Schizosaccharomyces pombe: one gene and its partner. Changing the gene in region 2 together with the main gene of any one other region gives a genetic interaction. Each region holds a gene or a part of one and is shown on either strand. Other genes may lie near its edges.

What was found.
Region 1: of cpp1 (region 2) and cwp1, extra expression of one rescues a mutant of the other (dosage rescue), as found in Schizosaccharomyces pombe (one study listed by BioGRID).

Annotation. Positions count from the first base shown.
Region 1 is NC_003424.3:1,864,010-1,867,652, forward strand, and holds cwp1 (geranylgeranyltransferase type 1 alpha subunit Cwp1), read right to left. Parts: upstream 1,763-3,643; 5' UTR 1,600-1,762; coding exon 923-1,599; intron 872-922; coding exon 664-871; 3' UTR 542-663; downstream 1-541. Other genes in the region: protein dpc13, read left to right, coding at 1-351, 406-448; SPOM_SPAPB1A10.05 (uncharacterized protein), read left to right, coding at 3,126-3,643. UniProt on the Schizosaccharomyces pombe protein: Catalyzes the transfer of a farnesyl or geranyl-geranyl moiety from farnesyl or geranyl-geranyl diphosphate to a cysteine at the fourth position from the C-terminus of several proteins having the C-terminal sequence Cys-aliphatic-aliphatic-X.
Region 2 is NC_003424.3:3,592,463-3,598,432, reverse strand, and holds cpp1 (protein farnesyltransferase beta subunit Cpp1), read left to right. Parts: upstream 1-2,026; 5' UTR 2,027-2,087; coding exon 2,088-3,236; 3' UTR 3,237-3,470; coding exon of another isoform or gene 3,471-5,378; 3' UTR 5,379-5,439; downstream 5,440-5,970. Other genes in the region: bro1 (vacuolar protein-sorting protein), read left to right, coding at 1-1,961; SPOM_SPAC17G6.03 (phosphoprotein phosphatase), read right to left, coding at 3,471-5,378. UniProt on the Schizosaccharomyces pombe protein: Catalyzes the transfer of a farnesyl moiety from farnesyl diphosphate to a cysteine at the fourth position from the C-terminus of several proteins. The beta(cpp1) subunit is responsible for peptide-binding.

The DNA.
Region 1 (3,643 bases), 1.7 Mb from region 2:
AAGGCCTCTTACATACAACAATGCTCTTCTGTATAGGAATAGGTTTCCTAGTATATTAACATGGAAGAGAAGTGCGACTACGCAACCTGACGACACTATTTTCAAGGATCCAGTAATGGATGAGCAAGTCCAGAAACTTGAAGAGAAAATGAGTTCATTAGTTGTTAATGATCCGGAACTTGCTCAAAAGGTTGGCCGTCTTCGTCAGTTTTTTGAGAAATACGGCCTTGAAGCTGGTTCAAAACCGTCACCTCTTACTATCCTAAAGATTACTCGTGATCCGGAATTCAAGCAGTTAGCTGAAACTATCACGGAGATATTTAAAAAATCTGGAATTCAAAATGATCCTGCGTATGTTTTTTTGAATGTATTCCATTGATTGTGCGAACACTAACATATCTATAGATTTTTGGAACTTGTTCGAAGAAACCTTAAGAAAGAAAAGTAAAAATATGCCTCTGACATTTTTTTTATTCTTTGTTTGGCCTAATAACCATTACTTGTTCACTATTATGTGAAACTTACAATTGGAGGAATGACTAATGTTATTGATTTCATAAACGATTCACTATACATCACAACTACTTTCTTAATTAGTAGGAATTTTAAACAAGATGCTTTATCAAAATATCAGTAAACCCAATTAGCATTCAAAGCATAGATTTAAGGATTGCTCCTTTGGGACATCCATGTCCATAAAGCGGCATGCGGTACGTCAACCTCATTTGCTAGTTTTTGATAAATCTCTTCAGACGACGAAGGCTCGTACATAGCTAAAAACTCTAAGAGTGGCTTGTGTAAAGCAGGCAAATTTTTTCGGAGATTAGCTATGAGATTATCAAGTTTTGAAGGTCCTGATTTGTCAAGTACACTGTAAAAAAGTTAATGAAGAATGTAATTAATGGAAATGAGAGATACTTACCCACACAAATAATTCCAAGCACTCTGATTGTCAGGAGCAAAAAGGATTTTGTCTTTCAGATAATTCAGTTCCTCTTCCAAAGACCAAGAAACCACCTTGGAGGTTTCAAACAAAACATAAAATCTATGATTCCAAGCCGAATTGTTATAAATGTCTTTTTCCAATAATTCGTTGGTTAACTTCAGCTCTTGAGAATAATCATTAAAATTTTGCAAGATCCAAACTCGGTAGGACCAGACATGATAATTTTTACTGTCAATTTCAAACATCTTTTTCGTAAACTCAAGTTCACGCTCATAATTCTTAGTCAAAGAAAGTATTTTTTGCCTATGATGCCAAACCTGGTAGTTTTTTTGAAAATCTTCGGCAATTTCATCGAGCCATTCTAATTCATTGTCTATGTAACTGGGCGTGTGGTTTAGGATTTGAAATCTATAAGCCCATACTGTATAATGAGCTGGATTATTCATAATCAAGAAACCTGTTAAATTAAGTGCTCTCAAGGAGTACTCCTTTTTAGCCATAATGGCACGAAAATAAGCCATTCCTTGTTCATATCCTGTCGTGTAGCAAATTTTCGCTAATGGGTTTTCGCCATCATCCTGAGGAATGGGTGTTAATGGTCCATATTCTGTAAAATCCAAAATTTCATTTAACTCGGGATCAATGGGATCCATTTCATTAATTTGGCATCCGTTGTACAATTCTCAACTCAAAGAAACAAATACTTAAAGGCCGAAAATTTAATTATAAGTGTTTTATTAAAAAGGATTGTCAGGTTTTTCTAAATTATCAACTCGAAAAACAATGAGTCTCTTTGTTTAGTGCGTACTATTGTTCAGGTGTGATGGTGGGTTAACTAAGGAGAGTAAGTAGATGAATAGTGAGTTAGGATTACCATGTTTACAATATGTGATTTATTTCAAACTTTTATCATAGTCTTTTATTAATTTTATTGTAGGCAACGGAGTATATTCATAAAACTTCAAACGTACAGGTTATATGAGTATCACCGACCAATTCGTGGTATTTCAGTATTGCCTATTAATTAAACCGGTGTTATATTTTCAGTTTGAGCACAATAAAAAAAACATCAAGTACATCAAGTAATTGCAAAACCCATCTAATTTTAAGTAGAGTATGAAATGTTGTGAGTTTATAATAATACCTAATTCATGTCCTGTCCGGATAGATGCGCTTTGGTCGTACAAAACGAATGACTAGTGATTACAAATTGCCTATGAGAAATCTGTATCTTCAGCATCCTAGCGATTAAAACTGATGAGGATTAAAGAGATTCATGCAAATTATTTGAACACCTATATAAAGCATTGAAGGCTTCTGGTGAACAACACGATATAGAAAAATATATTGATATGCGTTTCAATGATTATTTTAGTTTAAAACGAGAACCTAATCACCAGAGTCATGAAATGTCATTTGTTAGTATCTCCAAAAAAATATATAGCAATGCCGAAGCAAATTATTTCTTTATAATCTCCTGATCTACTCAATTTTTAATTTCTTAAGTTGAAATCTGACATTCCGATTATTTACATATACTTACAATGAAATGTTGCAACAATAATAGCATTTAAAGCATTTTAATATTTTTTAATTGATCCAAACCTTCCATTAATATTCAGTAAATTAAATTAACATCTTAAAAAGGGTTCGAAGCTGCTTTGAAAAGTCATGTCAAATTTATATTACTACTTACTTTTCCCTTACAGAATATATGACCAACCAGAATTTGCGCTAATAAAAATTTAATTAAAAGTAATTAAAACGTGTCTTCTAAGAAAGCAATGACTTCTAAATGTTTTCGACTTTGCTGGATTTTTCTAGATGGTTAATTATGCTTGACTTCATGCACTAGACGAAATTTAGATTTAGCTCATAATGTGCAACCTTCACCAACATAGATGACTGAAATTTTATTGAATTGAAAAACTCAAAAATTAACTGATCTTTATTTGTCGGTGTTTTTTAATTCAATTTTGAGAACGGGTTTGTGGGTTTGTACTTACCGAAATAATTTAGAACTAAAGGAAGTTACTACGGCAGTCTGTATTACCTCTAGGTTTTAGACTAAAACATCATAACAGATTTATTTAGATTTTTTTCTCATTTCAAACATTATTTATTACTTTTTGTTGTCTTTACATTATTTTGTTTTTAATTTACTACTCGCATTTCGCCCATGAAGCGTCAAAGACCACAAGACTCTATGATATCTGTCCCGTTGCAAAATGAAAACAGTACGACCACTCCAACTAAAGAAGTTAGTCATTTAAACTTTCCTTTGAAACGACCGCGATTGCATTCTTTTGTCCCAACTTCCAAACAAGCCGCTTTATCAGACATAACTCCAGACACGCCTCCTGCCTTCAAAACTCCTTACAGTAGTTTGCCTTACAATTTGGTTCCCCAGAATTCTAGTACTAGCAAAAAAAGACCAAGGGCAGAAGACCTGTTGGTTATTGAGCCGTCTCAAAATAGCCTTGTTCCTAGTACACAAAATAATGAGTGGAACGAAATTGCTCGAAAGAGAGTATCTTTAGAGTCCGATCATCCTGACAAATCGGGTCAAGTTATTGACCTTGCAACAGGGCAAATACTCGACAAGCAAACAGAAGATATCGATGATGATCGAAACAAGAGTGCCGTATCAAAATCCCTCGTTAGACATCCTCATCGCTTGAAGATGCTTCCTTTTGG
Region 2 (5,970 bases):
TGCTTTCCCGAATGGCTGCTAATCATGCATCTGCTTACACTGTGGATGATTATAAGGCGGCCGCCAATTGTTTACAATGCGCTAGCGGTATTGCCAAACTCTTACGCGAATCTTTCATTCATGCACCTGGAAGAGATTTAGATTCCAATTTTTTACTAGGTATTTACAATCTTTTCTTGGGTCAAGCACAGGAGTGTGTCTTGGGACATATGTCTTTTTCAGCTAGTGACTCTAACATGAACTATTCGTTGGCTGCAAAGATTGCTAGTTCGGCAGCTACTTTATATGATAGCTGTGTACACGCATTTGAATCTATGGAACCGGCGTGCAATCCCAATTTCATACGGCTTGCTTCTGCCAAAAAGGCCGCCCTTGAGGGATTTTCCTCTTATTTTATGGCACGCGCTCAGTTGGAAAAATCGAAACAAGGGCTTGCTATTGGATATTTACAACAAGCTAAGTCAATTCTTTCGTCTGCTCAAAAGTTATTCAATGGTATAAAGTTGAGTACTGATTTTATTCATAAGCCTAGTCTTTCTGACTATCCTCAGACCATTTCTACCTTCATCAAATCCTCCTTGTCTCATTTGTTAAAAACTGCTGAGAAAGATAATGACTTTGTGTTTCATGATCTTGTAGTCAAGGAAGTTGAGCTCCCAAAAATATCTCCTTTGCAAGCTCTACCACCACTTCCTTTAGAGAAATTGTATGGAAGTCAAGATGGATTTGAAACTGCAAAAAAAATTGTTGGAGATGATTTGTTCAAGGCCTTTGTGCCTAGCGCCGTTACGACCGCCAGTTCGCTGTATTCAGAGGAGACTGCCAAAGTGTTTCGCGCTGAACAAGCTGAAGTAGAACGACAAAACACCCAAATGGCAACGGTTTTCGCCTCCTTAGACCTTAGCCGGCTTCAAGAAATCACACATTCGGATTCCAAAACGAACTTTATTCCGAAAGAACTTATAGAAGCTCGTTCCCAACTTATTTCTTTTAATCCTACTTTTAAAATTCACGAGTTGTTTGCAAAATCCACAAAGTTGAAGCAAATTATAGCGAAAATTAAGAGTGACTTAGAAGTGGAAGCCAATGAAAATGCCAAGATGAAGGCGAAACTTGGACCCTCGTGGACGTTATCAGATAGCTTAGAGTTTGCCGCTCCTTATCAAAGTGAACTCAACAATTACTTGAAGACCTTGGCAGAGGCTTCCGCTACTGATTCCGCTATATCCCAACAATATGCTTTAGTAAAAGATGATGTAGAAACGTTGTGTAACTCTTCCAAAATTAGCGCATTACTAGAATCGTCCATTTCCTCAACTGATAATTCTGGTCAAAGCTTACTTGATATTCCTATTGAGCAGGAGGAGCAAGAGCGCGATATGAAAATACAGCTTGACTTGTTAGAAGAATTGCAATCCAGAGTTCAAAAGTTAGTTCCTGAAAGGCAGACCACTTTACAGGCTTTACAGCAAAAGTGTTTGCAAGATGATATTTCTGAGTCTCTCATGCAAAATAGTAAGCGGAAGGACTCTGCACTCGATACCAATCAGCTTTTTGAACTAGAATTAAAGAAGTTTGACCCCTTGCGAAATAGATTACATGCATCTTATCGGCAACAGCAACTACTATTGAATGAGATGAGAAATGTTACACAAAAGTTGAAACAAAATCCGGAATTTTTGAGAAAGATGGAAGTATACAATAACCAATTTTCTAAAAATAAAGAGTTATGTTCTAATTTGCTTTCTTCTTCTCTTACGGCTAAAGCTATATCGGAAGGTGTATCTAAGGGCCTTGAATATTATAAAACTGTTGAACAGAGACTTGCCGAAATTAATAAGACCCTAGGAGAGCAATTACTTTTAAGAAGGAAACAGGGTGCCACATGTCTTTCAAAACTTTCATCTTCGAGCTCCTCTCATACAAGTATTTCCTCTAATATGCGAAACCTTCACATCTAGCGCCAAGTAACAATTTGGCTGTTACTTTAGGTTCTTTGTCTTCTAGTGTTTAAGTAAACCAGTCCAACAACTTTATAATTAATAAAGCTTTTTGGTGAGCGGACTCTTTCGTTAAAGTTAGTAAAGATGGATGAATTATCAGAAACGCAAGTTATGCAAAACGAAACGGCTACAGCTGTTCTTCCATTGCTGAACGGCGAGAGTCAATCGTTCAATTTGCAAAAGCATCTTAAGTATTTAACCAAAATGCTAGATCCTCTTCCTTCTCCCTTTACAGTATTGGATGCATCAAGGGCTTGGATGGTTTATTGGGAACTAAGTTCATTGGCAATTTTAGGCAAACTTGACAGCTCTGTTTGTGAACGGGCTATTAGCAGTGTGCGACAGTTGAAAGGGCCTAGTGGTGGTTTTTGTGGTGGGAATGGACAAGATGAACATTTATTGAGTACTTATGCTTCTATACTCAGTATATGTCTTTGTGACTCCACCGACGCATATTCCTTGATAGAGCGCGATCGTTTGTACGATTGGTTATTCTCTTTAAAAAATCCGGATGGTTCGTTTCGAGTTAATAATGAGGGAGAGTCGGATGCTCGATCCGTTTATGCAGCTGTATGTGTTTCTTCTTTAGTGGGAATCAGTATGGACGATCCTCTGTTTGAGGGTACCTTGCAATGGCTTTGCAAGTGCCAAACTTATGAGGGAGGTCTTTCAGGTGTCCCTTACGCCGAGGCTCATGGCGGATATACATTTTGTGCCCTTGCCGCAATTGCTTTGCTGGGAGGTCTTGACAATTTAAATGAAATAAAACTTAGCACTTGGCTTGTACAACGTCAAGATCCTGCTCTTTACGGATTTTCCGGTCGCTCTAACAAGCTAGTGGATGGTTGTTATAGTTGGTGGGTCGGTGCTAGCCATGTGATTGTGGCTTCAGGCTATGGTTCGGCTTCTCATAAAAGCCTGCCTAACCTTTTTTATAATCCAGAAAAATTATTAGGATATATTCTTCAATGTTGCCAGAGTACAAGCGGCGGTTTACGTGACAAACCACCAAAACGGCCTGATCAATATCATACTTGTTATTGTCTATTAGGGTTATCATCAATTGCTTATGACTACAGATATCACACTTCTGATGGTTGGTCCTATAAACCTTCCATCTTACACTCCTCTTTAAGCTCTTTATTACCGGCTCATCCAATTTACTGTGTTCCTTTTGGTTTTGAAGAAAGAATTAAATCATATTTTCTGTCACAAGAATCATCAAAATTCTAATGGTTTATTTATGAGTTGTCTATGGACTTTAATTTTTCATGAGAGGATTTTTTTTATTATTTTAACGGTTTATGTCCCGAGTTTAATATCATGCCTATTTTACTTCTCTATCAGGTATTTACTTCGTCATTTTTACACATGTTGAATAAATAATAATTCTTGACTTATTTGTTATCTTTAAAATCATTAATGTCATTAGAATAATCCTTACTAAAGGAAATAAACCATAGCCTTTTACTTATATAGGCAATCGTGGTCCCAATAGAGATCTGCATATAATGGTAACAAATCAGTCATAGAATGCTTTCCGTCAGGTCTCGTAAAGTAAAGCTCCCAATCGTCAGGTGAATATAAAGGCTTATCTGCAATTTTATTTAAAATGTCGTCTAAGCGTGGAATAACAAATGATGGAGCAACAACGTCAACAACTTGCTTATCGTCTCCAGAAAAAGAATCATCAAATCCAACTTGCGAGCAAATAAACCGCAGCGGTTCATAATGAGGAGTTGTAAGATGAGCAGTGTCATCTCCGTCATCTCCTAAATCATCGTGTGTAGTGTATCCATATGTCTTGCGAATGGAGTGTTCATAAAAGTCCTCAAATTTTGCATCAGAAACTTGTGGAGTGTTAATTTGAAGAGTATCTTCAGCAATCAGATATCCACTGTGTTGTAGAGCTTGTGGCAGGTACTTAGTAATCGACCATGGGACATCTTTCAAAACATAGAATATATTACTTTTAAAAGGACAGACTTGAAAGACCTCGTCTAAGCCAAAGGCACCTGAATTTAGACCACCTCGAATGCCACCCGAATTTACAATAATATAGTGAGGAATGTGATGTCGAGACTCATTGACGACTATTTTTGGAAAAAGTTCGGATTGAAATAGATGATAAATTGAGTTTGAATCGTTAAATGGAACTTCTGAAAATGCAAACTTTTTTGGGGAACAACCTATAGGAGTAAGTAAGCCAAGTGCCTTCCGAGCTTCGTAAATGCCATTAGAAATAAATTCTCCAAGTGAGGTATTGAAAGAAGACTTTTTTGTTTTCGAATGAAACATAAAGCCCTCGGGATTCCAATCAATATAGGAACGAGAGAAGCTGACACTGGCAGATTTAGCACTTTGCAAAGAGGAAAATATCTGCTGAGATGACCGTCTAATACTTTCGCCTATAAATCTCAAGCGCTCAGCTAGATAAGATTCCACCCCCATTAAAGAAGAAATCCCAGATAACTTGACCAACGATTTGAAGGATGGAATGCCGTTAATTGAGACCCAACCAACTGTTTCGCAATATCTTCCTGACTCAATTCCCACTGCTTTTTCATCGTAAATGGCATAATCTCTAATATGGGAATGACCACCAAGTACTTGTATTGGAGTGGTAGGGAAGTGAATCCGAAGCTCTGAAAGAACGATATCAAGCTCTGAGGCATTGTGAACGGGTACATGAGCGGGAATCAGAATCAGATCGATGTCTTTATTTGATACCATATCGTTCCACCATGGCTGTAGCGAGAATTGCGAAACTGGGAGGACACGAACCGTATCAGTAGCACCAGAAAATGAGTTTACAAATCCAAACGCAAGGATTTTAACATTGTGGGGTGTAGAAAAGATGGCATATCGATCTCCAAAGGGTACAAAAGAAGAAACATGTTCATCATATATGTCAATGTTTGCAGCTAAATATCGGCCTTCCCACAGAGGAATGAAATTATGATAAGTATCATTTGCAACAGTTGAGAGATAAAGCTCATGATTTCCAGCAACAAGAATATCATAATCCATATTTGCAAGTAATGAATCTGTCCAACTACCAGGGGGATCTGTCAGATCTGACAGGCCCGTACCATCATGAAGATCGCCGGTATCTACTAGCAGTAAATCAACGTCTTTTTGTTTTGCCAAGTGCTTCATATGTTGAACAAAAGAAGCGAAATCTCCTAAATCTCCTGAATAACGTTTATCTCGCGCATGTCCTGCTAACCAGCCATGGATGTCAGTAGTGTGTAAAATATTGACTTGACCCCATGTCAATTCCCGACGAATTGCCAAGGGCAAAGTTGCTGAATAGCAAGGATTGATAACAAATAAAAGAGAGAAAATTAATGAAAATGTATGGGCAGGTTTCATAATAAATATTGGTTCCCAGTATATAGGGTAAGTGCAGAATCGCCAAGATAAGAAGATCAAGTACCAAGTCACAAGCAGCAAATAGTAGCCAGCCAAACCTTCGTAATATGACAATCATTGCTTCCATCAAAAGTCATGGGAGTTTTAAAAAAGAATTCGTAGTCGCCTATTTTTTTTAATCAAAAATTTCTAAATGAAAATTGCGACGTCTGCAAAACGAGCACGCAAATGCAAGATTTTGAGATCGTCAAATGATTAAAAAGCTTTAGTGAAACACTACACTTATGTTATGCCTTTAACTTCCGGTTGGGCATAAGTATTTAGTAAAAGAAAAGAAGAATTGTAAATTGACAATGTGTGGGGAATTGGTTTGACGAACGATAATAGATAATATTATGCAATATTGTAAGTAATATTTATAACCTTATCACAGAGAAAAACGCTTTTAACCAGAAGTATTCCTTCCGAAAAACGTATATTGTCTTTATTCACCAGAGAAGAGTGCAAAAACAAAATATTGTCATTGTTGCTCAAGAAAATGATTAAGCAAGAAAAATTGGTTTTATAGTAATGCAAAAAAATTTGAAAAGGA